Linked DNA regions of Caenorhabditis elegans. The protein of the gene in region 3 interacts with the protein of the main gene of each other region in a pairwise test. Each region holds a gene or a part of one and is shown on either strand. Other genes may lie near its edges. The genes, in order: unc-10, copd-1, nhr-41 and C01G6.4.

Region 1 (8,427 bases), on a different chromosome or scaffold from region 3:
ACGCTGAAATTGAGATGGATATGCAGATGGCACTCTTGAATACGCCGAGGATGACATTTGTGAGGGAGTAAGGTTGAGGAAGTCGTCACCTCCAGGAATACTGGAAAGACGAGATTTAAAAATGTTGACAGAGTTTAAAAATAAAATGTATATTTACATTGCACTCCTACTAACAATCAGCTCGACAGAAGTATCATATCTGCTTGCAGCGATGCTATCATATACTTGTTCATATGTGGCATTTTGCAGAGACTGTCCATTCCATTCTACTACTTCATCGCCTGAAAAAAAAGTTGAAGAAAAAAGTCTCTCACTTCAAAACTCATTACCAGGACGGAGTCTTCCAATGGTGTCCGCCACACTGCCAGGCTTAACTTGAGTAATGAATGCACCGAGCTTCCCGGTATCCGTTCTTCGGCCGCCTACAATTTTTAAACCGAGATCCCCGTTGGCTGCAGAATTTTCAGTTCGATGAAGTATCATGTGCCCTATTAATTTTTTCTGATCAGCAGAAGGTTGCCATGTTACAGGATGCTGAAAACATTGCCAATTGGAAACTTGTCAAACTTTTAAACTTTTTTTTTTGAATATGTAGGACATTTAGTTATAATTTTTGTATCAAAACAGGCTTACTGATAAAAATGTTCGTATCCGTGATGCCAACAAATCTCCGCCAGATATGCTCCCTGTTCCAAAATGATCATTTCTCGATGGTGACAAGGACAGCGATTTGTCACGCCTTCGATTAGCTTGCATGTCTAAACCCCCTTGGTAAGACCCCTTCAGTAAAGCATGTGATTTACTTTTCAGCACGCTGTTTCCGCTCAAGACACCGCCACCACCACTGCCGCCTACACCAGCGCCCAACGACGATGAATCCGAGTTTTTATGATCGCCATAAATATATCGAAGGAGGTCTGAAAAACTCATCAAAATGTCAACATGGGATTTCAAGAGTACGCACACAAACCCTTCTCAGAATTGCATTCCTCGGACAACCTCTGCACATTCGACGCTCCCATATCATCATGAAATGCGGTTTTCCCACCAGAGGCCACAACTGCTGACGTAGACATCTTCAAAGTGTTACCACCGCCTCCAGCAATAATATCCTCTTCAGAAGATGACATTGATCGAAGTTGCCTTCAAACAATTACTTTGAACAAATAAAATGAAGAAGAATGTATGACAAAAAATGCAGTTTATGTGAAATTGAACTACTGATGAAGAGCGAAAAAAGCTAAATGAGGCAATGCTCATTAAAAATTTGCATTGAAACCGAAAGGCGCTCTTCTGGTTTCTGTTTTGCTGTTGGTTTGACTAAAAAAGTGATCAGCAGAACAAAAAGGAAGTCATGCTAAATAATGAGAAAATGGAGACGTAACTGGAAGAGGGAAAGCAATGAACTCAAAGCTTGAGCACTTAGTACAAAAAAGACATTACTCAATTGAGTTTGTCTATTTTTTCCATTAGCCAAATTACACTTGCTCACCTATGCAATCGATTTTTCACCCGGTTCAAATGGTCGTCAGTAGAAGGACATGCTCGCACGCCTTGCGTGTTGGACTGACTCTGTGAAGAGTTGTTCCGCTCTGAAATTGATTCTCAAAATAGAATTTAGCAAGGTATTATCGATATGATATCATCTTACGTTTCTTAGATTCGAAGTTTGACGAACTTGCATAATCCTCCTCTGTTACCCGGCTGACTGTGTTTTTTCTAAGATTTCGGTTGTTTTGGTTCTGATTCTGATTATTTTGTTGTGAGCCCTGTTGCATTTGGCCATCAAATTGTCTTTGGTCATTCTCGGAATTTCCAGTGTAGAACGTGGGTCTGAAAGCAAGTGGGTATCAAGTTTTTAAACTTTATGGGATACTTACCGCTGGTTCATGCCATCATCCTCAACGTGATTGTATTTGTTCATGGGCGTAGTTTGCTAAATTAGAAACAATTTCGTTTTTTTTTTCATTTTAATATATTTTTCTACTCTGAACTTTGTACGACAGTACTGTAATTCTGACCAAATTTTCCGCTCTAGATGATTCTTCACATTTGTTCATTACTTTTACAGAAGTATCACCCTAATAATAAGCTGCTCAATCTTTTTTCAAAAGCTCGTTTTTGATATCCCTGATCCCTTCACCTCTAATGACGGCTGCCTATTGAACATTCCTCCTTGCCCGTTAGTATTCTCTCTCATTCTGTTGTTATCCGTCCGTTGTTCATTCATTTCTGAAATTATCCAGACTATATCAATTTGCGTCTCGTTCGCAATTTTAGCGCACAACACTTTTTTGTTTTGTTTTTCACTTTCTCTTTTTATACCCCTGGAGGCTCTTACGTTGATGATGCTGCTCTTGTTGTCCATGTTGATTATGGTGTTGATGTGCCGCGCCTACGTTGTTTTGATACTGACTGGGCTGCTGTTGAGGCGTTTGTTTCATAGTTCGAGAGTCATTTGTCCTTTGTTGGTTTTGGGGGCCAGTCTGAATTATTTACATGTAGAATTTGAAATAATCGTGGAACTTTCCAACTTCAAGTACCTGGTTTCTCTGGTTTTGAGTCATATTCTGATTGTGGCTCTGTTGTTGATTTTGGTTTTGATTCATCTGATTTATCTGATTTGCCTGATTTTGACTCATTGGCTGTTGTTGCATAGCTCTTCGATTATTCTGTTGATGATTGTTGGCTCCTTGATGATTATTTTGAACATGATTTTGATTTTGATGCGGGTTCTGCATTTGATTCTGATTGTGGTTTTGATTTGGATGTTGATTTGAATTTTGGTTCTGATTCATGAAATTCTGCTGAGTTTGATTATGATTTGGCTGCATTCCCATTCCACGGGGTTGTTGGTTGTTTTGATAATTTGGAGTGTTCCTGAAAATATGAAAATTAGTCTGAATTGTGATTGATTGAAACTAACGCTTCAAAGGAACATGTAACAATCAAACACAAACTTGGAAAAGTAAAAGAAACCGGAAGAAACTCACATTTTATCAGGCGGCTCTGCTCGCCTCTGCTGCGGTTCTGGTACGTTGTCGTCAGTTAGTGGTTGGGGCGAAGGGCTTGGCTCGGAGCCGCTAATTTTCGGCTGCGGCTGCTCTTCGGGTTGGAACCATTTGCCTGTTTTGGCAAGAATTTGTTGACGTTTCTGGCACAACGAACAAGCCCAGATTGCCTGAAAGCTTTTTACTTCTTCTCTTCAATTCACTTCTCTACTTTTTTATCGGTCGGTGCACCCACGGGGCTAATACTTTCTATTTATCTCTTTATTCCAAACTACTTTGCAAACAATGGATGCTATTGTTTTTCAGCTTCTGTCGTATTTTTTTAGATGTAAAAACGATTATTTCGCTTGATTTCCAAATTAGATTCATTAACTATAAAATTAAACATGATTTTATAATAAATTGTAAAGTTTAGATTTTTTTTGTGAAAATATAAACATTGCAACATCATATCGCAAAAATGTTCAAGTCGATTTTGCTCAAATTGGTTTTTATTCTGTTATTCAAATGCAGTCATCCAGAATTTGTCCTTTCTCTTTCATGTTTCCCCTTATTTCATCCCACACTTTCACTCCCGCTCGTACCTTATTTTTGCTCTGTGCTCTACCTCCACATCTGGCGCAGCTACGCAATTGACAATAAAAGCACTTGTGGCCTGAAAAACCTCTCATCTTGTGCTAAATTGATGTCCTTTTAGAGAGACGATGACAGCCAAGGGTTAGGGGCTCTCTGACGCCGCGGAGAGAATTACTAGGAACAGAAAACGAGGCTCATCTCAGGGCGACAGAAGGACCCTTTGCTCTCATCGCTTCTTCAGGAAAAGGAACAACGTACCAATTCCGTCCGCAAATTTGGTCTTCTGACAGATTTGACAGATCGCGTCATCTTGTGTGCCAACCAGCTTTTTCGATGTTTCTTTCCGCTCCGTGATCTGTTTGTCTAACTCTGACAATTCTTCAGATGCTTTTCTGGAAAATCATTCGCATGAAGAAATACCAATGCAATTATGTGTCTACAAAACTCTTACTGTGATATTTGTGTTTCTTTTGCCTCCTCATCTTTTTGTCGTTTGAAGACCTGCAAAAAACATAAATCATGAGCGTTCTGAGTGAGTATTCTCTATATGTATGTGCACGCATGATATCATGCCAATTTTCTTGTCGAATGTACATAAGAGCACACACTCGTTTGATTGCATATCCATTATTTTGCGTGTGCTCACGGCGTTGTAAGTAATACCCCTCCCCTTTTCTCGCTCTTTCACCCCTCGGGGGGCCCGTCATGCTCCGAGACAGAGGACTCACACCGCACCAACTACTTTTTTGAACCCCACAAGAAGCAGACGGATGGGCAAAATGAACGATGGGGGGGGGGGGGGGGGGGGAGGGGGTTCGTGCTGGAACAACTCACATTTTCTATTATTTCACGTTCTTCTGCAGATAAATGGGATAAATCCGGCATCATCGACGGATCGTCCATGATTATATTTAATGAGGCACTGAAGTTTGATTTTTAAGGTAATAAGGAGTTATTGCATCATGTGAAATCATAGCGTATAAAAAGACTAAAGCGCGATAACAATCCGAATAGAAAGAATAGAAACGAATTTGTTCGGTTTAAGAGTTGTATGTCAATAAAGGCCAACAAGAAAACAGGATCAACGCTGAAACAAAAAAAGAACAGCGTCAAAGATGGGGAAACCGAGAGAGGAAAAATAAGAGCGTCCGGGATTAGAAACGTTGAAAAATGACGCCTTTTCCAAGACATGAGCGCCCAGTAAGACTGGATGTGGTCATTTTCGACGACGACGTCGATGAATACCGTGGGAAACTCGGGACATCCAAAAATAGTCTTCCTCTTCTTTTCTTTACTGCTATCAAGAACTTTTTGCAAAAAAGAGAAAGAGAGCACTAAAACGGGAAAGGAATAAGAAATAAGCGTAGGAGGTGGGGAAGTGGGAAGCGAAGGAAAACGGGAAAAGAAAAGGAATAGAAGGGTGATGGATATTGGGTTCGCCAGGTTTCGCCATAAAAAAAGGCCAACCATGGACAGGTAAAGGTTCAAGCTGATGTTTGAATTGACAAAAAATGGACAGCTTGTGCAAAGTGGACAAAAGCATGTAAGAATAAAAAGCAAAATTCGATGCAAGATTAATGATGCACAAAAGGAGACATTCATTTGAGACAATGAATTCATGCTCGTTTCCCTGAGCACGGAAAAAAGACAAGGTTTGAAGATAGGGGTGGGGGGAGCCTCCCGTATCCGTAAGGAAAGAGAAAGAGGGCGAAAGGAAAAACGGAGGTGAAACGGGAGGAAAAGAAAAAAGACAAGGCGCGCCCAGGAGGAAAACCCGGGCGAATGCGATATAAGCAATGAATAAAACAAGGCCACGGATAGCGAATAGTTCATGTTTTACTCAGAGCTCTTCTAATAAATAAATGGATGTGTGTAGATGGGAGGGAGGGGTTTAGGACTCGGGGGCTAGCGGCGTGTGGCGACTGATGCGCAAACGCAGGGTGGAGAAAACGACGAAGGGATGGAGCAACGCCCGCAAAACACAAAAATGCTCCAAAGGCTCTACCCTTCTTTTCTCCCCCAACCAGTCTTCTCTCCCTTTCCATCCCGAGATGGCTCTATGTGGCGTTTGTGCCAAACGTTGACAATTAGCAACTCAGCGGGCAGCTTATCCAATATGCTCAAGATTGCCAAGTTTTGTTCTTTCTTCGTTGGAGGGCCTCCACACATACACACACATACACACGCAGGCCTCAGCCTCAAATTGGATTATCTGTTCATGAATGCATAGCAAAGAGAAGTATAAAACGACAGAAAAAGAAGACGAAGGAGGTGAGGACAGGGGACAGACAAACAGGGAACAGGACGAGGGATCACCTTTCCAAAAAGTTCACGCCCCTTCAATGCCCTTTCAGATACGTTCAGAATTCCTACTAGGACTATGAAGTAACTAATTATTAAAACTCACAGCAAAAGCAAAACATTTTTGTTCAACAATCGAACAAACTTTTCAAAAAAAGAGAATATTAAACATTCGCAACACTTATATATCCATATCCATATATATATATATATATACTATTTTCCTATTCCATCGGCTGGATTTCTAAATGTGTTATATGAAAAGAGTTTTCACGATTTGAAGATTAGATTAACTATGAGAAGATATATAAAAGGCGGACAAAATCCGTTATGAATCAATTCATATAGCTGACAAGAAACAGAATTAACAAACTTCTAGATGGGTAAATGTGATGTTTCAAAGATAAAGATTACCTTTTGGAAGTGCATTAATACTTTTCAGATTTGTTATATATCAGAGACATTTGAGAGTTCTTGTTTATTAGCGGAACGCTATCGGAACGAATTTCAAAGTTATGAATGTGAAAACGTAGTACGGTTTTCTTGAGGACAAAACTGTTTCTGAACCTAAAAATAAGGCATTCAAATCACATTTCATCAAATTGGACAAAGTTTGAAAAATGAATGACAATTTAACATATTTTCAAATTGTTTTCAAACTCTATCTGTTATTTGAGTGATCATAATATAAGTATACCTATAAAAACCCACTACGAGATAAAACAATTGATTGTTTTTTACTTATGTATATGTTTTTGTGGTTATGGTAAACATAAAATGTTCCTGAAAACAATTGAAGTCACATCAAAATTATTTAATACTATTACTCTTAAAATATGCACTTTTAAAAACACTATATTTGAAATACCCAAGTTGCGTGTGTGGGTTTTTTACATTTTTCCTTTTTAGGCTTAGAAATGGTTATTTCCTAAGCCCAAAAATACAAGAATATGCTTCACGTTTTCATTTTTTTTATCTTAAAAAATTACTTTTAAAATGAGGGCATGTAATACACAAGTACCCGTTTTTCTTATCTTTTAATAATTTTTGCATAATTTTGAAAGTTATTGTTGCATTTTAAATATATAATTTTGGAATAACAACTTATGAAATCCAGAAAGTATTTTTTCAGATTCAAAACTTTCTCAAAAGTACGGAAAAAAATAGTTCACGAACTGAGCAAAAACTGTTTGAAAATAGCATGGAGATGTTTCAAAGTATATTAAAAAATAAAATAAAAATTTATTTTTGTTTTAATAAAGCTATTTACAAATTTTAAGTTAAAACCTAGAAAAACTACCATCGAAAATTTTACAAAATTCAAACAGAGTCAATTTCTCAGCGCAGTTCGAATGTTTCAACGTATTGGGCAAGAAAAAGTGGACGTGAGAGAAGGCAAAAAACATTCCGTCAATAACTGACATCACTCAACTATTGCGTCTGCAAACATTCGAGCAGGGAAAAAGGTTAGGAAGGACCCAGAAAGGGTCTTGTGTCGTTGTCGCAAGAATGTATGTCCATTTATGTGTGTATGAAAATTTTCAAAAAAAAGACAACGAAAGATAGAGAGAAATTGGTAAAAGGTTTTCCCTGGCAAAAGCTGACAGCAATCAGTGGTCCACTGACAATGTGGGTAAAACGTGGGATTCGTAAGAAAATAAAATATTTTTTGGAGGGCACAAGGAAAAGAAGTGCATGTGGGAATACTGATGGAAACAAAGGTGCAGAGAGTTGTGGAAGAATAGAAACAGACTGCGCATGTTTGTACTACAGAGAAGTGCTCTCTTTTTTGGGTGCAAATTGAATATTTCAGGTGCAAGGGGAAGTGAAGTGAAAAAACGCAAAATGCAATGGGTCAAAAAGCTATATTTGAAAAAAAAACTACCGGAGTGGGAGTTAAAAGTGTTATATTCTACTTTTAATAATCATGTATTTTTAGATATTTTTAAAGGTGGAATAGACACACTCATCGCGCTTTTAGAATTTGCTTTTTAGATTTAAAATGAGTCAAAAGTACCGGATTTTGTAAAAATTCCAAAAATTAAAAAAAAAAAGTTAAGGAGGTTCAAAGTTTCGGAATAAAACTTACTTTCAGCTAAAATCTAAACATTTTTTATTTTATCAAAGTCACAACTCATGGAAGTAATTGTATTCTAATATCACTCTCTCTCTCCATAATATCACTATGCATAATTCGGAAATTGATTAAGTTTTGTTCCGTTGATTAAGATTGTTTTTGTTTTAATGTCGATGGGTGCACAATGTACAAATGCACTTCGGCACTGATAAATTGGAAAATAAAGATTTTAGCTGAAATTTAGCCTTGTTTTCCGAATACTTTAATCCGGCATAACTTTTTTTTTAATTTTCAGAACGACTTGTTTCGCAATCAGATAGTTTTAGACTTTTTTCGGTATAAAAGAGCAAGGCCACAGATTTCGGTACTTTACCGTCTGAAAATTGTTAGCTCGATTGCCTCAATGCAGCAAAAAACAAATGTTCGTTCTGATTGAAAAAGATCAGTGAAGAAATTATAGGG
Region 2 (7,796 bases), on a different chromosome or scaffold from region 3:
TTTCCGCCAAAAGTACGGTAACCGGTCTTGACACGACAATTTTTGGTTCAAGGCAAGAAGGTTTGCGCCTTTAAATAAAGAGTACTGTAGTTTCAAACTACTTTTTGTTAAAGAATCCTTATTGATTTTCCACACTTTTCAATCAAAAATTAATTACTTTCTGAAAACAAATAAAATTTTAAGAAATCGAGAAAAAACCTTAAAAACCAGAGAAAAATCACGCAGAAATGACGAATCGGAAACTACAGTACTCTTTAAATGCGCGCATCATTTTAACCAATGTTTGTCGTGTCGAGACCTGGTATCATTTTAGACAACATACACTTATTTTCCCGTCAGTGTAATAAAATGTTCGGAATTTTTCCTTTTTAAAAACGTGCTCAACTGAAAATCTTCCAGGCAATCTCCTTGAATCCGTCCTTATTGAAAATTGCTGATTACAACTATTCATTGTCTAATTCCACTAAAATCGTCGTAATTGCATTCGGAAAAGCATCGATTCTAATGGCAAAAGGAGCAAGAGACCAGCTCAAGTCATCACTTTTACAGAAAACAATTGTAATTGCACCGGAACAACAAAAAGGAATTGAAAATGAATTAGAAAATGACACTGAAATATTATACGGAGCAAGAGATAATCTTCCTGATGAGAAATCAGTTTTTGCGACCCGAAAAGTCATTTCTGAAATTCGAGATTTCGACTCTGAATCCACGATTTTTCTTTTTCTAATTTCCGGTGGAGGTTCAGCTTTATTGACTTCACCCAGTGCTCCATTGGATTTGGCTGAAAAATTGGAAACTATAAGAATTATGCAAGCACATGGGGCTACAATTCAAGAGCTGAATACCATTAGGCAGAATCTCTCAGATGTGAAAGGTGGCAAACTTTTGAGAGAGATTAAGGTTTTGTTCTGTGAAGAACTCATTAGTTTTTATAAACTTTAAATTCCAGAAAGGATGCTCCATTGCGCTCATCATATCTGACGTCATCGGGAATCCTGTGGAGCTCATTGCCAGTGGACCTACAGTAATCCCTGCCCATCAACAAGACAAGTTCATCATTTCCAACATTTTAGAAAGTTTAAAAATTAATAAACTGGAACTTCCGGTAAATGTGAAAAATGTATTGGAGAATCATGAAAAAGGTGGGTACCAATATAGTAATTGTAATGAAATATTATAATTTTCAGAACAACTCCCTGAAAATACTTCACGTTTCCAAAACTTCATAATTTCAAGCAACAACTTTGCTCTTCGAGCGGCTGCTGAATATTTAACTTCTTCTGGTTATAATTCAACAATTGTGACGTCATCATTGTCTGGAAATGCTGCTGAAATCGGAAAAAAGTTTGCTGAAATTATTACTGAAAAATCAATAACTTCGAGTCATCTTTTAAAAAACTCGAATTTAACTATCGAAAATTATCCAATTGCTCTACTTTTTGGTGGTGAGACAACTGTTCATTTGTCTGAAAATCCAGGAAAAGGAGGTCGCAATCAGGAAATGGTACTGAGCTGTCTGGATGCTTTGAAGACGCGAGTTCCAGCTCATAATTTCACTTTTTTGAGTGCTGGAACTGATGGACAAGATGGACCTACGGATGCTGCCGGAGCAATCATAAGCAATGAAGATTTGCCTTTAAATTCTCTTCTCAACAGTTCGGAATTTTTGCAAAATTCGGATTCCTATAATTTTTGGAGACAATTCAAAGGAGGAGCGAATCATATTTTAACTGGACCAAGTGGAACTAATGTGATGGATATTCAGATTTTGCTTCTAGATCAGCTCTAATGAATATTCAATTTAAACCAGAGGTGGGCGGATATTTTTTTCGGATATTTTCTAATAATGAATTTATCAATAAGTATTGATGTAGTTATTCTGGAAGAAATGTATCCGAACAAAAGAGTAACTATTAAGCAACATTTTAATATGATAAAACCTAGAAAAATTCTACAAGTTTTCTGTATAAACGATATGCAAGTCCATTATCCGATATCCGTAATATCCGTAGTATCCGATATCCGATGTTGCTCGGCTAATAAGTTTTAAGGTCTCGGTAAGGAAAACTTGTAGAATTTTTCTAGGTTTTATCATATTAAAATGTTGCTTAATAGTTACTCTTTGGTTCGGATACATTTCTTCCAGAATAACTACATCAATACTTATTGATAAATTCATTATTAGAAAATATCCGAAAAAATATCCGCCCACCTCTGATACTCTACTGATACTGATACTCTGATACTGACTACTCGATTCTATATTCTCATTGAAATGTTTGAAAAACAATCGTACAAAAAAAATGTATCCGTAAAACCCAAAAGAAATGGAAATAAATAGAAGAGCATACATAAATTAAAATATTCTCAATAAATACAGTATGAATTGGGTCGGAGGAGAGTGGCTTATGCATCACAGCAATCAAAGGGATAACATGATTTGCAAAAAAGGAATCATGAATCTCTAGAAAAATTAGTGGCTTGGTGGTGGTATTGGAAGCAATAAAAATATCAATCTTGAAGATCTCTCGAATAGGAATAAATTACACAATTTCGAAATTTTCCGAGTTGAAAGTAGTCTCCACTGAATAAGTTACCGGCGATCCATCATTTTTCACAACTTTTTGTACAGTAATCGGCACAAACAAGTTTTCAGAAGTGAATCCAACGGAGACAGGGAAGAAATGATCACAATGGCCATTTGGAACTGAGAATTCAAGGGTTCCCGAAGAGTTCGAGCTGTCAATCACAGCTAAGGACCAAACAATCACGTTCTTCGTCTTGTGGTACTCATATTCTCCATCACACTCACCAACGGATGGAGCTGTCGCAGTTCTGAAAAATAATACTTACTCACATGATATGGAATGATAAAGGTGCCTTCGAATATTTTTTCTGTTTTCATTCAAGCAAAACCAACAAAACGATAAGCCGGAAAATTGTAAACTGAACGAAAATTTTTGGGTTTTTGAAAACTTAAAATTTTTTTTTCAGATTTTGGAAAAACCAAGAGAACTAAAAGGTTTTTGTTGGAAAACACGGCAGGACTGATATGTATACCAAAATTGTCAAAATAAACTTTGAAAAACTCACGGAAGTGGCACAATGATGCGAACATTGTTCAAAGTGATGTCCTCTCTTTGCAATGTGTACTCAATATTGACTTGGACTCCATCAGATGATTCTTGAGGCCAGCAATTGACTGAAATTTGCAAAATGGTTGAAAATTATACCAATACAATTGTGAATTGTTTGTCTTCTAACTTACAAGAAATTGGCAACTGCTCTTCTTCGGAAAGTGCCATTTTCCATTTGAGAATTCCCACATCTGAGTTAACTGGATATGGTTTTCCGTTCGGCTTAATTTTCAGTGTCGACGAAGATTGCCATTCCTTCTTATCGAGATTTGGATGAACTTGAAGTTGAGTTCCAGCTGCAGATCCATTATTCATTTTAATTGAAATTGGAATAAATTCGGGAGATCCAATAGAGAGGGTAACAGTGGCTTGTACTTCTCCTGATTCGAGCCCTCCATCACGACTGACACGGGTATTAATTTTCTCTTCAGTTCTAACGTGAACGACTTCTCTCTTGACACGTGGAGCTGTGGAGATCGGTGCGGCGAGAGAGGAAACTCCTCCTGAAAATTATAAAATTTATATGTAAAATAAATTTAATATCAAAAAAAGTTGATTACCTGAAAGACTAGCTTTCTGTACTGGTGCAATGCTTTGACCTTGTTGTCTCAATGTATCCAAGAAATCATCTTCATTATTCGTTTTTCCTCCCAACTTCAGTGCCTTTCCACCTCCAATTGGTCCCTTCGGTGCCGATGGTCGTGGAGCCGCTGGCTCAGAAACTGCAGCTGCATTTGGAGTGGATGATGAAGAGATTCCTGTGCTTGATTGATAACTTGGCTTGAGCCCTCTGCTCAAAGCCTCCTTCTGAGCTCTCTTGAGTTCCTTGGCCTTTTCAGCCATTGCCTGCTTGGCAGCTTTCTCTTGAGCTTCCTTGATCTGCATAAAAACTCTTTCCTCATGAGAATCCATCTCTGTGAAAGTTCTGATTTGAGCAAGATTGACGCTCTCGCGGTATCCGAGAGTGACGACCTCATCGAATGCAAAAATCAGATCAAAATCGTGAGCAAGAATCTCTTTCTCCTCATTTGAGCGGCAATACTCTGGAATGACTCGTACGAAAAGGCGTAAAGTTTCCAAGTCCTCGAGAATGTTCGAGTTTTTCGTTGTCACCAACACAAGGTAAATGTTGTCCAGAGGGTGATAAACGTAGCGGACGCTGTCTGTCTCGACAAATGTATGTTGACGAGTAGCTGAAAACAATTTAATGTTTAAAAATCAGAAATAAAATTAATGTCTAAGGGTTTCCAATATACATAGTACTTTTTTTAACTGACCAGCTTCCTTCTCATTCCCAATAAGCTTCGGGAAAGCATCAACGAGCCCTTCCAAACGAGATCTCATCATGTCATTTACGAACTGCCGGGCAACAAGCAATTTTCCCGTCTTCGAGAGGATGCAAGCGGCGATCAACACCATTGTGAAATACTCTGAAACGAAATAATGGCATCGAAATGGGAAAAAAAGCAGAAAAATTAAGTACACGTTGGTTTTACGCTTATATGCTACGGGAAAGTTTAATAATTAATTTAATTGTATTACATTTTAGTTAAGTACGGTTATCAATATTAAATATTGAAAACATCTAAACTTATATTGTTCTGTGAAGAGTTCCAATAAAAATCGAGTAAAAATTCGGAAAAACTAGGAAAAAATCGTGTGAAGTTTTGAGATAATGATGGAAATATATTAAAAATTTTGTTGATGCTTCAAAAAACTTAAAGTACGGAGTACGACACCAATAATTTCAAATTTCTCTAATTACGTCGCCATTTAATCCAAATTCAATGAAATTTAAAGTGTATAGCATATTTAGGGACATAAATAACTCGATTTTCAATTAAAAACAAAAAATTTAAAGCTAGAAACTATTAAAAATCAGCTTAAAAGATGAAAATCTCCAACGAACAACCAGTGAAACGTCATTTCGTTGCGAGACCTCCCCGCGGCCGCTGACCGGGAAAAGGGTAGTTTTAGGCCATGAGCAGGAAAAACTTTTTTGGCAGGCATAGAATTTCTTTGAGTGCACATTTGATCAAATATTTGAGAGAAATTTTATGAATTAAAAAAATATTCGCGACTGAAAAAATTCTAGCAGCAATCTTTTTTTTGAGAGAGAATCGATCAGTTTTTCAATCGTTTTTAAGCACTTAAAAAATGTCACACGTGAGAATTTAAATTAGGTTCATGATTTGAATTCAGGGCAAATACTGTTTTACTATTTGATCTTTTGGAAATTAAAATTTTTTCAACACAAAAGCCAACGCCAAAGAGAGGAAGGGTCTGAAGAAGGTCTCAGCGACAGGATCGAGCCAAAATGGCTCAGCGAGCGAGTATACTCAGACAAACGCTTAGTAGTTTAATTAGATTTCAACCATATTTGATTAGAAACTGAGCAAATATAATGGGGACATAATTAATAGGCTTCCTATTCTAATCCAATATGGATTTTCTAATCAAATATGGTTGAAATCTAATCCAATGTGGAACAAATCTAATCCAATATGGCCGAAATCTAATCCAATATGGAACAAATCTAATCCAATATGGCCGAAATCTAATCCAATATGGTCGAAATCTAATCAAATATGGCTGAGATCGTGCCATATTGGATTAGATTTCGACCATATTGGATTAGATTTCGACCATATTAGATTAGATTTGTCTTCTAATGAAATATGGAGGAAATCTAATCTAACATGGATTTCTAATCTAATATGGAGCAAATATAATGCAATACGGATTTTCTAAACAAATATGGTTGAAATCTCGTTTAATAGACAGGTGCGAGTCACGGCTAACCGACTCAAAATCACTGCTAATTAGGCAAAACGGCCAAAAAACCAGAACTAATTAGCTTAAAACCATGGCTAATTAGCAAACCATTGCTAATTAGCAAAAAAGCAGTGCTAATTAGCAATAATACACAGCGCCTCAAATCTGGAGAGAACAGCGAAAAAAGTGGTTTTGGAGCGGGAGCGCGTTTGCTGCAGACGTCGCACGAATTGGAATTAATGTATAGCAAAACAGTAAAATATCGCGTTTTTGCTGGATTTTAGGGATTTTAAAGCAATTTTCAACATGCGGGACCGCCCAGAGACTGTTTGCGATGCGATTTACTTCATTTTAACATAAATTTTTCTCCAAATAAGCTCGAAACGAGCTCTGAATTTCGGCGAATCTGAAAAAATTTTTTGACGAAAAACAGAATTTTGCAAATAAAAATTGATTTTAGAGCAATTTATTGCATAAATATTTGCTTTTAGATGTTTTATGAATAGTTTGAATCTTTTTAAAGAGTTTTAGTTATTAATTTGACTGATAACACAGAAAAATGATTTTTCTTGGAAACGAAATCGATAAAAAAGTAAAGCAACATTTATCAAGGGGAATCTGGCAAAATTAGTTGAATAACTTTTATGAAATTAAAGATTTCAATAGAATAAAGTTACAAATCAATCAAAATCACTAAAAATACAAATAGTTCTGATCAAATATCAATATTCCAATCTACCAAGTGATCTATGCCACGCCAAATTTCTTATGTAAGTGTTGCTCTCCAATTTTCCTCAAAAATGGCTCAAATACTCACGTAAATGATCAAATTAACATTTTTTACAAGTTTGGTGTTATATTTTCTTTTCCTTGATAAGGATCCATGAGGTTCTTCCTACCCTCTACAGCTCTAGATACCTCAACTTCGACAACTCCTATCTACTCGGAGAGGCGAGATATCAAAAAGTGATCAACTGAAAACTTGTAGAGCACATCAAAAACTATGATATTCAATTTAACCTACGTTTTTATCTTCCAAGATTGGGGAGTTAGACTTACATTTGTATTGCATACTTTTTGTTATTCTAATGGCTGCTCTAACTTCCTCATCTTAAGAGATAAACACATGGTTTTAACTAATTATTATAGTTTTTATTATGTTCTAAAATTTCTTAGTTAATCACTTTTCAATATCTTGCCTCTCTGAGGAGATAGGAGTTGTCGAAGTTACAGTATCTATAGCTATGCGCATATGAAGAATCATATGGATTCTCATCATGCAATACTACTTATCATCTGAGTTTTGTGGGAACCAATGATTCAAAAATGTTTCTTCAGATGATAAAACAAGTTTTGCTTTGATCTGAACATATAGTGTTGGTTTAGTGAAGATCAACTGCCAACTAAACAGTTTCCGTTGAGTTGGGCATTTTTGAGCAATTTCAAGACTTGAAACCGTGTTATTTCTATCAAGCTGACGTTTAAAAATTGGAATCAAACATATTGATGCTTGAAAAAATTTGTTTCGCGTAGAAATTTTGTCATAGAATTAACTTGTTCTAATCGGTTCGAAAATCAATGATAAATCAACCAAATCTTGAATTTGTTCAATAAAATATTTTTTAAAACTTTTTTAAAGCAATAATAATTCCAATATTTAACTATTTGTTCCAAATTTCATCTTGAAAACTCGAATAATCGCGAAATTTCGTCTGATATTTATTTAATACCGTAAAAGTGTGCAAGCGCGCTCCGTTGGACTTTCCAATTCTCGATTTTCACAACTCTCCCGATTTGAGGCGCTGTGTAATATCGATTTTTTGTTTTCTTTCATTTTTATTTTATTATCCTTGCTTTTTATAAGTAATATATTTGTTTTTT
Region 3 (8,005 bases):
ATGTCTAAAACTATAAAATCTGTAAAAATTACCTCCAAACTCTGTGACGGTTGACTATCCAATATCGATAGAATTTCTAGTACAGTTTTGTCGAAATCTTGCTCCTGGGCCTCGGAGTCTAGTTTTTCGTGCATTTTGAATATCTTCAGTTGTAACAAAACTTTTCAGAAAAAAAAATCAATTTTTTCAGAAAAATTTCCGACCAAAAAACCGAGAAGAATTCCGACACGTATATAAATATTAGTCACCGTCGGTTGTGTGTCAGGTCACCGGCGCGAGAGAGGTGGCAGAGAAAAGTGGAGAGGTGGAGCCCATCTTAGAGAGCCACGAGGCAAAGGGGGCTCATATCACCCAGGCAACATGACCTCTGACTCTTCAAGCACATGCTTATCCCCTCTATGCATGTGTACAGCCTATAGATTATGCGCCTACACCCCTTTTTTCACAAAGTTTTTTGAGGGCAAAACTTGAAAACTTAAAAATTTTATATCAAAAGTTGGCAAAAGGGAATGTATACTGACTAAGAATATTGAGAAAGCAATGATAAAGCAGATAAAAAATTTTGAACACAAGTGGGATCGAACCCACGACCTCAGAACCATACGCCAACTTTTACCCAGTTGAGCCACTGCTGCACAAATTTTCAAAACTATCGAAAATGGACCATTATGGGTGTTAAAATGACGGAAAATCAATGAAGGAAATGGATAAATTAATGAGAAACAATAACAAGGAAGTTTTCGGAAAAATAATTAGACTTTTTTTATTGGCGAGAAAAAACAGCTTTTTCCAAAAACAATTTCTCCAATTACTCACTTTTTCTTCAAACTTTCAGTCAGAAAAAATAATTTCCACTTCAAGGACTCGAACCGATGACCCTCAGAACCGTAGCCAAACCTCTTACCACCTGAGCCACTTTGCCCAATTTTTCAAACTTATCGGAAACAGGCCAATATTCGGTTTCAAATGAACGGAAATTTAATCAAAAGTTTGAATTTTGAGTAAAAATTAAAGAAAATAATAAGTTATAGTGGAACATTTTCAAAAAAAAACCTACAAAAATTGAGGCAATGACCGGGAACACTATAATTTCTAGATTTTCTTTATACTGTGGACACTTTAAAGTTAAAAAATCAAATTCTCTATCAGATTTCCGTCATTTTAACCCCAATTGGCCCATTTCCGATTGCTATCAATTTTTAGAGAATGGTCGAAGTGGCTCAACTGGGTAGAGGTTACGCTGTGGCGCAGAAGGTCAAGTGTTCGACACCCAGGCTTGCCAAATATTTTTTACGGGATGATTTGATCCTGCCTTAGTTGAAATATGAGACTTTAATCTAGTTTCAAGATGAATTTTGCAACCTTAAAAAAATTTTTGCAAAAATCTAAATAATTTTTTTTTCAATTTTTTCTGAAAATCAATAAAAAATATTTTTCCTTGACAAAAAACGTCTTCCTAAAATACTTCAAAAATTTTTTAGCCTCTCCATGCCCTTTTACTAGTGATTTATAGAGTTCTTCAGAGCAAAAAAAAGAAAAAAGAGGAGCCAAGCTTTTTTCACACAGCATAAAATAATTTTAGGCTTGAAAAAATGAATAAAAATGAGCAAATTTCCAGCAACAATTTCGAAATTCAGTCTTCGACCGATTGACGTCAGCGAGGTTAGAAAGGTGAAAAAATTGGAATGAAACGTATCGAAAAGTGGAAAGTTGTGTCACCGATAAAAATGTTTTTAGAAGACGCCACAGTTATCAACTGATAAAGGTCAAGGAGCAGCCCCTGGAGCCCGGTGGGTTGGTCAAAAATTGATCAAAAATCGGGAAAAAGTACAGTTTTTCGGACTGGGAATCTAGGTTATTGGAAATTTTCGAGTGAAGAATGTCCTTTTTTGACGAAAATAGAGTTGCAAAAAATAATTGGTTCACAATCAGTCAGGTTGAACGCACTTTGCAAAAAATAGTTGGCAAACCTGGGGGTCGAACCCTTGGCCTTCTGCGCCATAGCCTAACCTCTACCCAGTTGCGCCACTGCGACCCAATTAGAAAAATTGAAATTATCGCAATCCAGTCTAAATTGGGGTCAAATTAACGGAAATTGCATGGAGAACTCGAATTTTTTATTTAAATTATGCTAACTCTAAAGTTTGTAGAGAAAAAAGTTTAGAAAAAATACAAAACTTTAGTTTTAATTAAAAATTAGTTTTTCAACAAAGCACACCCAGAGAAAAAGAGATGTAAAAGTCATTAATCTAGAAAGTTGCCAAACAGCGTAGAGGTCACCTGAGGACCCCGGAAAGTGGGCGGAGCTACAATTCGACCGGTGATCAAAACCTGTTTTTAGAGAGAGCGCGCGCGCTCGCGACACTGTCCTTGTAGTCCAAACTTTTGGAAAAAAGGGTATTGGAATATTAGGTATACGCAGAAAATTTAGTAAATGATTTGAAAAACTCCAAGTCCTAACCTAAAATTGTTTTAATTCTAGTTAAAATTTTGTGTTTTTTTAGGTTGAGGCATTGATTTTCATTGTTTTTCATGTCGAAATTCGGATTCTGCGTGCAATTTCCGTTAATTTGACCCCCATAATGACCGGATTCTAATTATTTTAAAATTTTTGAAAATGGATCGAAGTGGCGCAACTGGGTAGAGGTTGGGCTGTAGCGCACAAGACCGGGGTTCGAGCCCAAGTAAGGGAAAATGTTTTTCTCAAGGTTTGTTTGGATAGTTAAAGTGTGTTAAAATAAAAAGGAATCCTAGAAAATCGGAAAAATTGGAAAATTTTTTTGAAAAAAAGTTCTTTGAGCAACATTTTTTTTACCTGAACATTTCGAAGGGCATTTAGCTGTTGAATGATATTTGGCATCATTGGTGGACCGACAACTGACGGGTGTCCTAACAATGGGTTTCTGGTAGCCTGGAAATTCAAAAATTTAAGGGAGAATTTAACAAAAAAAAAACAAATTTTGGGGCAAAAGTTAAAAAATATTTTTGAAAACGAGATCAAACCTTTCATGATATTTTTTTGAGGGAAAAAAAAGGTTATCGAATGACCTTCCACACACATAGACACATAGTAATTTTTCATTAGGGTCGAGAATTTGAGAGATATTTCGTTTTTTTTTCGAAAAAAATTGGACATTCTTTTTGCCCCCGCCATATAACTTTTTCCGCTACAGTCAGCAGGCCCCTCCCGCACACTCTTCTCTAGGCACTCGAGACCTCCTCGTTTCGTCCTCCCATGTGGTCTAGTGGTTAGGATTCGTGGTTTTCACCCACGCGGCCCGGGTTCGATTCCCGGCATGGGAAGTTTATTTTTTTATTTTTGCACTGCCAGTTTTGCCGAATTCTCATTTTTGCAGAAAATAGTTTACCTGCATCATTGCCATCAACTGTGGGTTGCTGAATACGTTTAGTTGAGCCGCCATTATTGCCGGATTGAACAAATTCGGCTGAATACCAGGGATTGGTGTGTTCGCATGCTGTGGGGGTTGGAAAGCTGTTGGGGTGCCTGAACATATTTATATTTATTTTTTATTCGAAAAAAATTAATTAGAATATTACCTGGCGTTGAGGGAATTAGGTGAGATTCTTGTTTGATAGCGGTCGGAGCAATTAGGCTCCGTGAGAAATCGATGGGTGGAGGTGGGGGTTGCTCGACGGAGCAAGGGTCACCCAGCGTCTGGAATAAGAAAATTATAATTTTTCATAAACTTTCCAGTTAATTAGCCTGTTTAAGACAATTTTTCCAAACTTTAAATTCAGAGAATTTTTTTAAAAGATATTCATTGTCAAATTCGAATTCTCCATGAAATTTCCGTTAAGTTGACACCCATATTGACCAATTTACAAAAATTTTGAAATTTTTAGAAAAGTCAAAAAATTGGGTCCCAGTGGCTCAGCTGGTCAGAGGTTAGGCTGAGTCAGAAGGTCGAGGGTTCGAGCCCAGTTGTGGTTTTTATTTTTTACTATAACTGTTTTGATGGTTGAAACAGTTTTAGAGTGACAGGAATTTCATTTTAGAATTTTTTTTTCGTAAATCTTTTTTTAACTCCCATAATTTAGACTTTTACATGTTATTTTGTACAAGAAATCAAAATAAAAAGAAAATCCCTCCTACCGGACTAGAACCCCGGTCTTCTGCGTCATAGTCTAGACCAACAGATACCCGACTGAGCCACCGAGACCAAATTTAACTTATCGGAAATAGGGCAATATGGGGGTAAATTAACGGATTTTAGAGATTTTAGACGGAAGATTCGAATGTTTTAATAAAATAATTGAAAAATTGAAAAATTAGCCTTTAAAAATTTTTTAAACAATTGTCCCGAAAAAAAGTTTTTTTCAGAAATTGTTTTGTATTGTGCGGTAAATTGGTGTAGAATTTAACGTTGAATACATTTTAATTGAAATATTGGTACTTGTGTATTACATGCCCTCATTTTTATAGTAATTTTTTAAGTTGTGCAAAATAAAAACGTGAACCACACTTTTGGATTTTTAGGCTTAGGAAATAAAATTTCCTAACTAGGGAACCGTCAGAAGGTGCCCATCGGACTTGCATATGAAACCTGTGCCATTCGATAGCTGCGAATCTCCAGAACCAAGCTCACGGCGAGCTCTCAAATATCCTAAAATAGCACTGTAACGAAGCACTTTACGATCAAAACAAGCAATTTTCCTTATTCACTTTGGTAGCTCATATCTCTGCGGATAAATTTTTCAAAGAAAAGTCATCAACTGATAAATTGTTGAACTTTTTGTAAAGAACAAGTTTGTAGTTAAAAGTTTTTACCAAAAGTTTTTTGTTTTAGATAAAAGCATTAAAATCGCAATAGCAGCAGTTGCCGCACTTCATGCGCTTCTATCTGAAACAACAATTTTTTTGACAAAAACTTTCAACTACAAACTTGTTCTTTACAAAAATATCAACAACATATTAGTTGATGACTTTTCGGTAAAAAATTTATCCGCTGAGATATGAGCTACCAAAGTAAATTTGGAAAATTGGCCCTTCACTACTTCGTTAAAGTGCTATTTTCAGGATCTTTGAGAGCTCGCCGTGAGCTTGGTTTTGGAGATTCGCAGCTAAAAATTCACGAGTAACCGTTTAATTTAATTTAAAAATGAGGACATGTAATACACAAGTACCGAAATATTTTCGATTTGAGTGCTAGTTCTTCAGTAAAACCTAAAAAATGTACAAAAATGAACGTTTCCTCAGAAAACTCACCATATTAATCCAAGTTTGATGGGATGCTGAAGCTTGACTCTCAGCAAATATTAGCCCAGTTGATGACGTGGAATTTTCTAGAATAAGGGGACGATGTGGGTGATCAGAGCACTTTGGCAAAGTGTACATGAGTATACAGAAACAAGAGAGAATAATATAGTAGTACAGTGAGAGGTGTTTCAGACCGTTATTCCTGGAGACTCTCCCCCTTATCACCGCGCCGCCGGTCAGTCAGCCGCTGCTGACCAACTGGAAATATGTTTCAAGCGGTGTGGCGCGCGGCGTGGGAAATAGTGCGCGAAACCGGGAGAGTGCACACAGAGGTGAGTGACCGTGGGGGGCATTGTATGCTAATAGCAACGCGGAACGAATTTTGGGGGCGGGGGGAACTGTACTATGTGTTGCGGTTTTGGTATAACAAAGTTGCAAAAAAAAAGGTCACAACTTTTGAGGAAAACGAACATTTAAGTCTTTAGCATTTGGGTTTAAACGTTTTAAACCTAAAAATTCGAATTTTACAAAAAATTTCCGTCAATATGACCCCCATATTGACCTATTTCGGTAGTTTTTAAATTGTCAAAAATTTCGGAAAATGGGGCGAAGTGGCTCAATCGGGTAGAGGCTGGGTTATGGTGCAGAAGGTCAGGGGTTCGAGTCCCAGCTTGGTCATAAGTTTTTGTTGCAATTTTTTGAGTGACAAAAATACAAAATTTCGAGCTAGAAACTAGTTTTCAACACTTTCCATGTGTCGAGTAATTTTCGTTGAAAAAATTAAATTTTAGTAAATTAAACGTCAAATTCGAATTCTCCATTAAATTTCAACGTGACTCCCATATTGGCCTAATTAAGATAATTTTGAAATTTTTTAGAAATTTCGTGAAAATGTGTGCTGAACTGGGTACATGTTAGGCTATGGCGCAGAAGGTCAAGGGCTCGACCCCAACGTGCACCAGAACATTTTTGCACAGCTTAATTTAACATAGTTTCCCCTGTTTTAAAGTAATTTTGACATTACACACATTTTTTTCATTATTTTGGAAAAAATTTACAAAAATGTAACTCTCACAAATTTTGTCAAAAAAGTTACACTGATGGAGTAAAATTTTTTTCATCAAAATATGGAAAGTATAGAAAATCCTTGAAAAATCCCCAAAAATCATATCCCCCGCTACCGGGGGATAATCGGTGTTTAGCGGAGCCGTGAACTCAATCTGTTAAATAATTTTTTTCTTCTGTGCCGGCCGGGGCGGATTTTCTTTTTTCATTTTCATTAAGATAATTTATAGGTGAGCGGCTTTGTTGCTTAAGTATTAGCTGTGAGGATTTGTTGTTAATTTTTTTTTGGAAATTTTTTTCGACAATATTTACCCATTTCATATGATCAAAAATGTACCGGAAAAAAAATTTGGGACCGGCTGGGGTCGAACCCTGGTGTCGAGATTCACAGCCAAACCTGTTAGCCACTGAGCCATCGCGGCGAAAATTGAAAATTTCCGGTTTTTTGGGCCAAAAATTTCACATACAGGGTTCAACCTAGTTTCCAACTCGAGATTCTTTTCTTGTTAGATGGAAAAAGTCTCACAAAAATATTCACCTACAGCGGGGATTGAACCCCTGTCTTCCGCGCGTCAGCCCAACCTCTACCCAGCGAAGCCACCGCGACCTATTTTTCAAACTTATAGGAAATGGCTCAATATGGGGGCCAATTTGACTAGAATTTTGATGAAGAATTCGAGTTTTTATATTAAGAAGTTCTTAGTAGAGTTTCAAAGATTTTTTTCGGTAAAAAACTATTGAAAACTTCCTGAAAAATCATTTTCAGAAATTTTCAGAAAATATTTTAGAACTATAAATTATGTATAAAAACAAGTAGCTTTCAACAAATCTTCTCGAAGCTCTGACTTTGTTGAAATAGCTCCTCTTCGGATCCGCTTATCGATGTTCTGATCCGCTATCAAGTGGCGGAAAAATAGGAGTTGATACCTGGTTTTAGTGTCATTATGAATATCTAATCGGTTTTTGGTCGAAAAAAATTTGGGGTAATTTTTTTTTTGAAATTTTTTGAAATTTTTTTTTTTCATAAATCCCTAAAATTTTTATGTTTATTAATCTTTTAAAATCAACGTAAAAATTGAGTCCAGCTCATTGAGAGCTTCCATTCAAATATAAACATGACCTACTTTGCTCCAATTTGAAATTTTCCGAGTCTCACCGCGAGCCTACAGTACCCCGCGCTGTGAGACCCAACTTTTGTGAAAATGGAGGAAAGTGGGGCATGATTATACTTAAATGAAAGCTCTTGACAAGTTGAGTGTGATGAAATAATCAGTTTTGGGGAACTTTGACAATTTAAACATTTTGAAAAATTTTTTTTTTTAAGTCAAAAAAAATTTTTTTTCCAAAGTTCTTTAAAAATTATCTCTAAAAACCGAAAGCCAGACAGTATCAAAGATTCGAAAGCTAGGATGTCTCACTTTCACTACTCGGGATGAATAGGCAATAAAGGTGGCGGGAGATCAACGGATACGTTAGCCGAGAGACAGTTTGAAGAATGGAACGGGATAAGCACCATTGTGTTCACAGGACAGACAAGAAAAAGAAGCACAAATGTGTTTCTTGGTGTCCGTAATAATGTGAGAAAATTTAAACTGAACTTTACCAAAAAAAGTTTTTGTTTCGATTAAAAAAAAAAGATTATTTTGATTGTTTCTTATTTTTAACAATTTTAACTCAAAAAATCGAATTCCTTGCAAAAAATCCAAAAATTTAAGCCCCATA
Region 4 (7,674 bases), on a different chromosome or scaffold from region 3:
CATATGCACCGTGTGCAGACACATTTCGAATAGGTGACCCCTGTCTTTCTTTGGTCATTTCTATTTATTTTATAATATTTTGTTTGGCTCTTTTTCTTTTTTGAATCCTTTAGTTCTCTGTTGATCCCTTCTTTCTTTTTTTAATAGCAAAAACTTTAACTTCTAAAATGCTATTCTGGTAAATCAGTTCAATTCGCGCGCCTATTTTGTGCCTACATGCCTACCTTCTCCCACTTGTTAACACTTTTTGCTTGTTTGTTTTTCCAATTCTATAAACCTTTGAGGCAGGCACATGTGCCTGAAGGTGTGGCTGCCTACAATAGAAGAATTAGGTGCATCTATAGGCAAGCTGGGAGTATACTGTATCTAATTATATTTTTTTGTAGCTGTTCAACAAACTTTATATTCTAGACTTAAATACTTTTTTGACCTACCTCCACAAACTCGGCGGGATTTTTATCCAATTTATAGTTTTCATTCCTCAATCTTACTTCTTCTTTTCCCATTTTTTAGTCATTCCATCATTGGTTTTTGAAAGTTTTCTGGAATCTAACTCAACTTTCCTTTCGTTTCACTTTCAATTTATCGATTTTCAGATGCGTCTTCTGATTCTTCTCCTAATTTGCTCTGCATTCTCCACATGCTCAGTGCTCGACTCATTCCGTGCCAATGGAATCGAGTTTGAAGTTTACGGTGAAGGACGTCTGATTCCGGAGAAGCAACACTGTGTACCGTATACCTTGGATCTCAATGAGTTTGTCAACTCGTTCAACACGAACAATATGAATGAGTACAGTCGAGGGCTTCTTCAAAAGCGGATTTTCACGAGTTTCGACGCAATTTGCCGCAAATTCAATATCCAAACCGAGAACGAGCAACCAGAATACAATCTGACAGAGGATAGATCTCAAATGAGATATTTGGATTATTTCGACTACAATTGGAATAGTCTTCGATTCGAACGAGATCTCAAATCTCTATTTTTGGAGAATAAAATCAATAATCCATTCCTGGATTCAGTCACTGAAGAAACCATCAAAAGAGCCGGAGCCAACGATGTTCTAGACTTTGCTCAAAAGACAACGGTATTCCCGAAGACTTGCAACGTGAAACAGATGACTGTTCAGACGATGATTTGCTTCAATATTTCAGATATTCCACAATCTGGAACTATTTATGCGGTAAGTCCTTTGAGTGAATTTAAAGAAAAAAAAAAAATATAATTTCAGTTGGCCCATGGAGGAGAGTTCTTGCACAATGAGGAGGTCTATGCCTATTATGATATTCCACAATTCGTCCTGATCACTCAACAAGCTGTAATCCCAATTGAGCTTGAAAAATGCAAAGTTTTGGTTAGTATTACTGAATACTCTTTCAAATTAAATGTTTCAATTTTCAGTTCGGCACGTACATTTACTGCTTCGAAGAATTTGACACCCAATGCGACGTTCGTACTCTCTCGGATTGCCCAATTTACGCCTACAAGACCGAAGATGAGTTTGTCTTCCGCAGAAGCTTCGGAATCGGATATATTTACGCTACGACCGAGTCTGATGTTGATTTGTATCAAAATGGCACAAAATCAACCGTTCCTGGACGTGTCTTCGTGCTCCGAACTAGTTTTGGAACTCCAACCACTGAAAACGGATCACCAGTTATGATGCCCGATATGACACCTCATCACGAGCCGGAGAAGAGCCAATTCGCCGAATTGCTGCCAGAATCGCAGAAGATTCTGAAGTCCGACACTCCGACACGATTGTATACCACTCAACGACGTGGTGTGAACATGCTAAGCCATAAGCATTACGATCAAGGAGCCTGGGATGCCGTTCGAGACTTTTTCGGATTTTAATTGACTTTTAATTTTAATATTTTTTTCACCACGAGTACCAATTTCCATCAGGGATCCAATCCTTTTTTTCAAATTTCAATTTCCAATATGAATCTTTTAATAAAACAAGTTTGACAATTTGACACTTTATGCGTTAAAAAAAAGCAATTTATTTGAATTTCAGAGTAGCCGGAAGTTTTTTTGGGAAGTCAATAAAATGAGTATCAGATACATAGACAGAAAGTGTGTACCGAGTGGTGAATTAAAGAAAAGCTACAGAACAGAGAGCGAGATGAGTGAACAGAAGAAAGAAAAATAACACGTTGGGATGGAATTGACTAAAAAGATGAACAGGAGATGATGAGGAATTAAAGACGACTACAGTATGCACAACATGGGGATTTCAGGTGGAACAGAGCAAAAAAGAAACAAAATGAAAATGGTGAAAGATGAGTGAAGAAATGGTATAGTTCATATGTACACGCATTTCTATATACAGACGTTTGTAATGGGGACAAATACAGCCAACACTGCAAACCAAACTCGAAAACTTCTACTGGGCAAGAAAATGGGAATATTTTTTGCAGAAGGCATTCATGGTTTGGCAGTTGATGAGGAAGTCGGCGAGCACACGATTTGTTGTAAGGATTGCATATTATGGGCAGTTAACGAGGAAAGTATGGTTGAATCGACTGGTTCAAGGCACGAAGGACATGTGAATGACTTCATAAGCCATTCGTCGACGCATTCTTGATGAAACGAGTGCATGCAAGGAAGGAATCGGATTCTCTCTCCTGGCTCAAAGTCGATCATACAGATGGCACATCTGAAAATGGTTTTTTTAAAAATTTAACTAGAGCGCATTAATACTGATTATACAGGCGCGAAATTTTGCGCCAAAGTGCGATACACGGTCTCGACACGACAATTTTTTGTTTAATGCGAAAAGGTGTGAGCCTTTATAGAATACTGTATTTTCAAACTCTCCTTGCAGCGGAAATTTCATCATTTTTTAAGTTTCGTGAAAATGTATGTGATTTTTTAATCACATATATTTGAGTTTTCAAAAAAGAATTAAAAATCTATGAAATTTCCGTATATATCTATAGTTTAAAATTACAGTAATCTTTAAAGGCGCACACTCTTCCACAGTACACAAAAATTTTGTCGTGCCGAGACCGGGAACCATATTTTGTGAGTGAAATTTTGCGTCTGGGTGATAATAATTTTTTCAACACCTCTGCTGTAGCTCGAACAATAATTGATATTGGTCAGATTGTAGTTTGAATAATTTAGTTAATTTTTCATTTAGATCCGAATTTCAAAACTTACTCATTACTGGTCATATCTCCTCGAAATACATCAGCAGGGATTTGCTCGAGAAGTCCTCGAATTCGGTTTTTTTTTGCTTCGTCGAGTTCCTGAGAATTTTTTAAAATTTAATTAAAATTATTCTGCTCTAAACGCTCACTTTTCCCTGTTCCTGTGCTTGTCGTTGTCTAATTACGTTGTGTTGATAGAGCTGATTTACGTACGAACTCTGAAAATTTCAGTTTAATTAAATTCAGATTCTTCAATAATTTCTTACGCTTTGTTGCATCATTGACGGATTTGTGAAGCTCATCGCTGCGTCTGATGATCGGCTCCTGCAAAAATAGTTTATTGAACTTGTTCTATACTTCAAGCATACAATCTAATTGTATTTAAATTTTTAAAAAATCGACGTGTTTTGGTTAATACAACTTCCGTTTTCATTTTTGTGGTATATCACATCAGTTTAGCTTCATCGACATCTCACAGTATACTAGTGAATGACAAAGTAAATTACCGTCGTAGTGGCGTCTCATCGTGCTGTCTGACGAACCCGAACAACGACGGCAAGCAGTTTCCCATTGTCGATCGAAAATCAAGCTGAAAAAAAAGTCGAATATATGAAGATGTGACAAAATGAGGACATCGGAGTATTTCTCAGACGACTAAAGATGAGAATTTTCTACATGACTTTTCCGGATGGGTCTCGCCACGCGGGCAACAAGTTACTGTAATTCGTGTCAAAATACAGTTTGCCATAGCGTTATATTTCTCTAATTTAATTTAAAAAATTCTGACTCATGATTAAAAAATGTATATTGTACAATTTCGGCCCGTAAATTGACACGAGCTACAGTAACCCACTGCTCGCGCCGCAAGACCTTTTAGACGTCTAATTAATAGTAAGATAATGTTCAAACGTCCATGCATGGAAAACCAGGAAGGAAAATTACTCATAATTACACATCGAACTTTAAGAACAACATCACTGCGACTTCTTTAATTAATCAGGCTTCCCAGAAAATCAATGAGAAAACATTTTTAGCGACTTTGTGAAACATTTTATGTGTATGTGTGTCTGTGTGTTTGGGTGTGCACGGAAGCTCTCGTCAAATATTGATTCTCTGGGAAACCGGGAATGACTTTCCGTAGTTTGCACGTATTTATGCCCAAAACAGGTCTCGAAACCAAAACAAATAGGACATGAAGACCCTTTTTTAAGGAAAAGAGTTAACAATAGACTTAAGAAGTGAGACGATTTAATCAGTTACTGTATCTAGGTGGTAGCTAAATATACTAAATATCTTTAAATTATTTGACTGATCATTGCAGAATTTCGTAATCCGTTCTAAAACATCAAGAATCATAGGAAATGCATTAGCAACATTTTTATACGACATAATCGTACAAAACCTAATCGATAGTAAACATTAATGTTGTCTATTGATAAGAAATACAACATTTCGATATATATTCAAATTTAAGCATGTTTCTCGCGAGGAAAGTCTAGACTAAAAAGAAATAACTAATAATTTTTGAAGTGATCAAAATTTGAAACTTAGATTCTAAAAACTTGAATCGATACATGTGAAAACAGGTGAAAAAAAGCAGTACGACCAAAAGTGGTTGTGTCTCGAAGCAGTCTTCTCATTTTCTCTCTTTCACTCTTTCTCTCTCTGTTCGATTGCAGCTGTCTCTTTGAAACGAGAGTTCATTGAGCCATAAGAGTTTCAGACGATGAGACAGCTGAAATGAGAGTATACGAAGAAGAAGAGACGCAGAGACATAACCGCATGACTTGGGGACACTCATGCCCACTGGGGCCCCGCCTTTTCCTTCTTCAGCTGTCAATTTTGTTGACGGAACTTTATTTTTTCAAATCATATCGAACAAAATTTTTTATCAAAGAGTCCTAACTTTTTTTTTGGGATTTCTAAAACTACGATCCAAACCCTGGGATACAGTAACCTTTTTCGTATTACAGGAACGCAAAACTCGGAGAATGCATATTGTGCGACATATTTGACGCGCAAAATATCTCGTAACGAAAACTACAGTAATTATTTAACTGACTACTGTAGCGCTTCTGTCGATTTACGGGCTCAATTTTCAAAATCTTTTTTTTTTTCAAAAAGTGACAGCAATATTCCATTTTCTTTCGTTTCTTCGTGTTATTTTCTCATTTTTTGCTCAATTTTATTCATTTAAAAAATCGAACGCGTAAATCGACACAAGCGATACAGTAATCATTTAAAGAATTACTGTAGTTTTCGCTACGAGATATTTTGCGCGACGGGCTACTGTATTGTTCTCCTAATTTTTTAAAAATTGTCGTCCCAATTTCACTGGTCAAAATTCCAGAAAGAAAAATGAAAGGAGTTTCTGAGGCAAAAGATTGTGATTCGTATAAATTATAAATTGCTTTTTCAGAATTATTTTCTTCAAATACAGCATCGCTTTGTTTGGAACATCAAATTCGAATTTATTTCCACTCTCAATGTACTTAAATTTACATAATAAATTAAATATCTGTTAAGCAATAACTGAAAATTAAATAATCGACATTTTCAGATAATTAAATCAAACTTTATCAAACTTTATTCGTGAACACCGAACAGTAATGAAAAATACAAATTTTAGCAAAATATCAAAGATTCGGGGGACACCATTCTTTTTGATGTGAAATCTGAACAGAAAAAAGGCAAATTTCGATAAAGAATATCGAGTTATTGAGAGGGAAAAGTGAGAAATTTAAGTCAGTTGGCTGCATTATCCTAGGCTAATCGGTTGAGTATATTAGAATTAAACTTGTAAAAAAAAAAGATAAACCGAAAACAAAACGACACTACTCATTGGGATGGTAAAAGATGATGATGTTGGGATGATGGGGGAATCTCGCCGGCTAGATTATCCTAAAATTGTGCGGAATCTCCAGAGATCACACAATTCACAACTCGGGTTTTTTTGTTAGTTTTTGGGTGGGGAAAAGAGGAAAAATAAAAACAAGAAAAGTAAAAAAACAAACAGGAAAGAAATCGCCTAGGCAAAAAAGAGGAAAATCAACCGAATGGCCATAAATAAGAGTTTTTTAACCCGCGAAATAATCAAAAGAGACAGACGAAACGTGTTTTTTTGGAGGGGAAATACTCTAACTGTATGGAAATTGAAAAATTAATTTCGTTTTCCACATAAGATCTTAAAATACAGAAATAGGGGGATTATAAATGATTGATTAGAAAGAATATTTAATAAATGAAATGCTACCTCGATGTCACTAATTATTCCTGGGGCGAAATTATGATAAAATGAATGGTAAGATGTTGTTGCAAATGATGAAAAATTTCAAGCTTCAGAAGCCTGTGGGATTGGCTTTTTATTCGGCATTGCTTGATACCTCGCATAAACTCGACCGGCTAACGCGTCTTTGGCTTCTTTTGATGGATGTGATCCACAGCACAGGAAGGTCTCGTCTTCTCGATAACAAACGTTGTCAAGACGAACACACCACACGTGGAACCATTGATTACAGATGGAGCAGGAAACCTGGAAATCATATTTGTAAAATAAAAATATTTTGAGTGTGTACCCATTGTAAGTTTTTTCTCTTTTCGTATTTGGCAGATATACAATGTCCTTTTGCTACACCACATCTTTCCTTGCTTGGCTCCGTTTTTGGTGGTTCTTCTTCTTCGGTAGGTGTCGCCTTCTTCTGTAATTTAAAGTTTTAGAAATTTAATTCAAGTTTATTCAAAAATCACGAACCCTTCCTCGTTTCTTCTTCGGTGCTTCTTCTGGCTCTACGTCCTTGTCTTTTGTCTTTCTTTCCTTGATCGCTGATTGACTGGCTGTTCTTTTCATGTTTTTTCTACGGCCTCCTCGTGGAGTGACCTTCTCTTCTTCTTGAACATCATCAGTCTCATCTTCATCTTCAACAACTTTTTCTTTCTTTCCAACTTTCTTTGCAGGTGTTGATTTTCCAATTCGGGTTGATCTTCTTGCTTTATCTCTTCGTTTTGTAGACTTATCGCCCGATCTTCCATCATCTTCGGAATCAGAATCAGCAGATGATTCATCAAGTTGTTTCATTTTTCGGGAAGATGTATCTTTTTGTTTCCTCTTCGAAGATTCTGCAGGTGTGGATGATGGAGTTGCCGAAAGCGCCTTGATTTGTTTAACAAGACGAGCTGATTCGTCTGATGAATCATCAACAGCTCGTTTCTGATCTGTATTTTCTTTGCTAGAAGTCTCTTCTTCCTCTGCTACCGAAGACGTTGTCAGAGATGCAGATGTGGAGGATGTTGTGTTTGAAACAGATGGAAGGACAGAAGCCACAGATTGTGCTGCAGGTGATCCTATTTTTTCCAAAGAAACAATGCCAGAAACAGTTGATTCTGAAGATACCGAATCCTTAACGAGAGCCACAGGGTCTGGCGATCGCGATACCGGATTGGGTGTTGTAGAAGGCGTCGACACATCTTGCGCAGATTTTGAAGAAGTTACTCTAGGCAACGGTGAATTCATTGGAGTGG

The links.
Region 1: the proteins of nhr-41 (region 3) and unc-10 interact in a two-hybrid assay, tested with the Caenorhabditis elegans proteins (one large-scale study listed by BioGRID).
Region 2: the proteins of nhr-41 (region 3) and copd-1 interact in a two-hybrid assay, tested with the Caenorhabditis elegans proteins (one large-scale study listed by BioGRID).
Region 4: the proteins of nhr-41 (region 3) and C01G6.4 interact in a two-hybrid assay, tested with the Caenorhabditis elegans proteins (one large-scale study listed by BioGRID).

Annotation. Positions count from the first base shown.
Region 1 is NC_003284.9:7,275,812-7,284,238, forward strand, and holds the start of unc-10 (Rab-3-interacting molecule unc-10), read right to left. Parts: upstream 4,512-8,427; 5' UTR 4,491-4,511; coding exon 4,422-4,490; intron 4,273-4,421; exon of another isoform or gene 4,134-4,272; intron 4,089-4,133; coding exon 4,039-4,088; intron 3,980-4,038; coding exon 3,846-3,979; intron 3,792-3,845; exon of another isoform or gene 3,707-3,791; intron 3,667-3,706; coding exon 3,596-3,666; intron 3,182-3,595; coding exon 2,994-3,181; intron 2,881-2,993; coding exon 2,544-2,880; intron 2,487-2,543; coding exon 2,342-2,486; intron 2,233-2,341; coding exon 2,144-2,232; intron 1,937-2,143; coding exon 1,881-1,936; intron 1,834-1,880; coding exon 1,652-1,833; intron 1,593-1,651; coding exon 1,493-1,592; intron 1,144-1,492; coding exon 971-1,143; coding exon of another isoform or gene 965-970; intron 918-964; coding exon 634-917; intron 535-633; coding exon 330-534; intron 282-329; coding exon 158-281; intron 101-157; coding exon 1-100. UniProt on the Caenorhabditis elegans protein: Regulates the efficiency of a post-docking step of the release pathway. Acts after vesicle docking likely via regulating priming. May regulate the conformational changes in syntaxin.
Region 2 is NC_003281.10:6,620,403-6,628,198, forward strand, and holds copd-1 (putative coatomer subunit delta), read right to left. Parts: upstream 4,571-7,796; 5' UTR 4,560-4,570; coding exon 4,418-4,559; intron 4,334-4,417; coding exon 3,701-4,333; intron 3,644-3,700; coding exon 3,272-3,643; intron 3,206-3,271; coding exon 3,097-3,205; intron 2,892-3,096; exon of another isoform or gene 2,839-2,891; coding exon 2,547-2,838; 3' UTR 2,298-2,546; downstream 1-2,297. Other genes in the region: C13B9.2 (glycerate kinase type-2 family protein), read left to right, coding at 400-903, 953-1,145, 1,191-1,792. UniProt on the Caenorhabditis elegans protein: The coatomer is a cytosolic protein complex that binds to dilysine motifs and reversibly associates with Golgi non-clathrin-coated vesicles, which further mediate biosynthetic protein transport from the ER, via the Golgi up to the trans Golgi network.
Region 3 is NC_003282.8:1,383,514-1,391,518, reverse strand, and holds the start of nhr-41 (Nuclear Hormone Receptor family), read right to left. Parts: upstream 5,305-8,005; 5' UTR 5,231-5,304; coding exon 5,228-5,230; intron 3,677-5,227; coding exon 3,559-3,676; intron 3,506-3,558; coding exon 3,369-3,505; intron 3,304-3,368; exon of another isoform or gene 3,232-3,303; intron 2,912-3,231; coding exon 2,816-2,911; intron 135-2,815; coding exon of another isoform or gene 33-134; intron 1-32.
Region 4 is NC_003280.10:9,269,298-9,276,971, forward strand, and holds C01G6.4 (RING-type domain-containing protein), read right to left. Parts: upstream 3,746-7,674; 5' UTR 3,728-3,745; coding exon 3,663-3,727; intron 3,481-3,662; coding exon 3,423-3,480; intron 3,375-3,422; coding exon 3,306-3,374; intron 3,256-3,305; coding exon 3,167-3,255; intron 2,661-3,166; coding exon 2,429-2,660; 3' UTR 1,968-2,428; downstream 1-1,967. Other genes in the region: C01G6.3 (Lipoprotein), read left to right, coding at 597-1,181, 1,230-1,352, 1,400-1,855; Germ layers disorganized gldi-3, read right to left, coding at 6,488-6,688, 6,732-6,854, 6,908-7,674.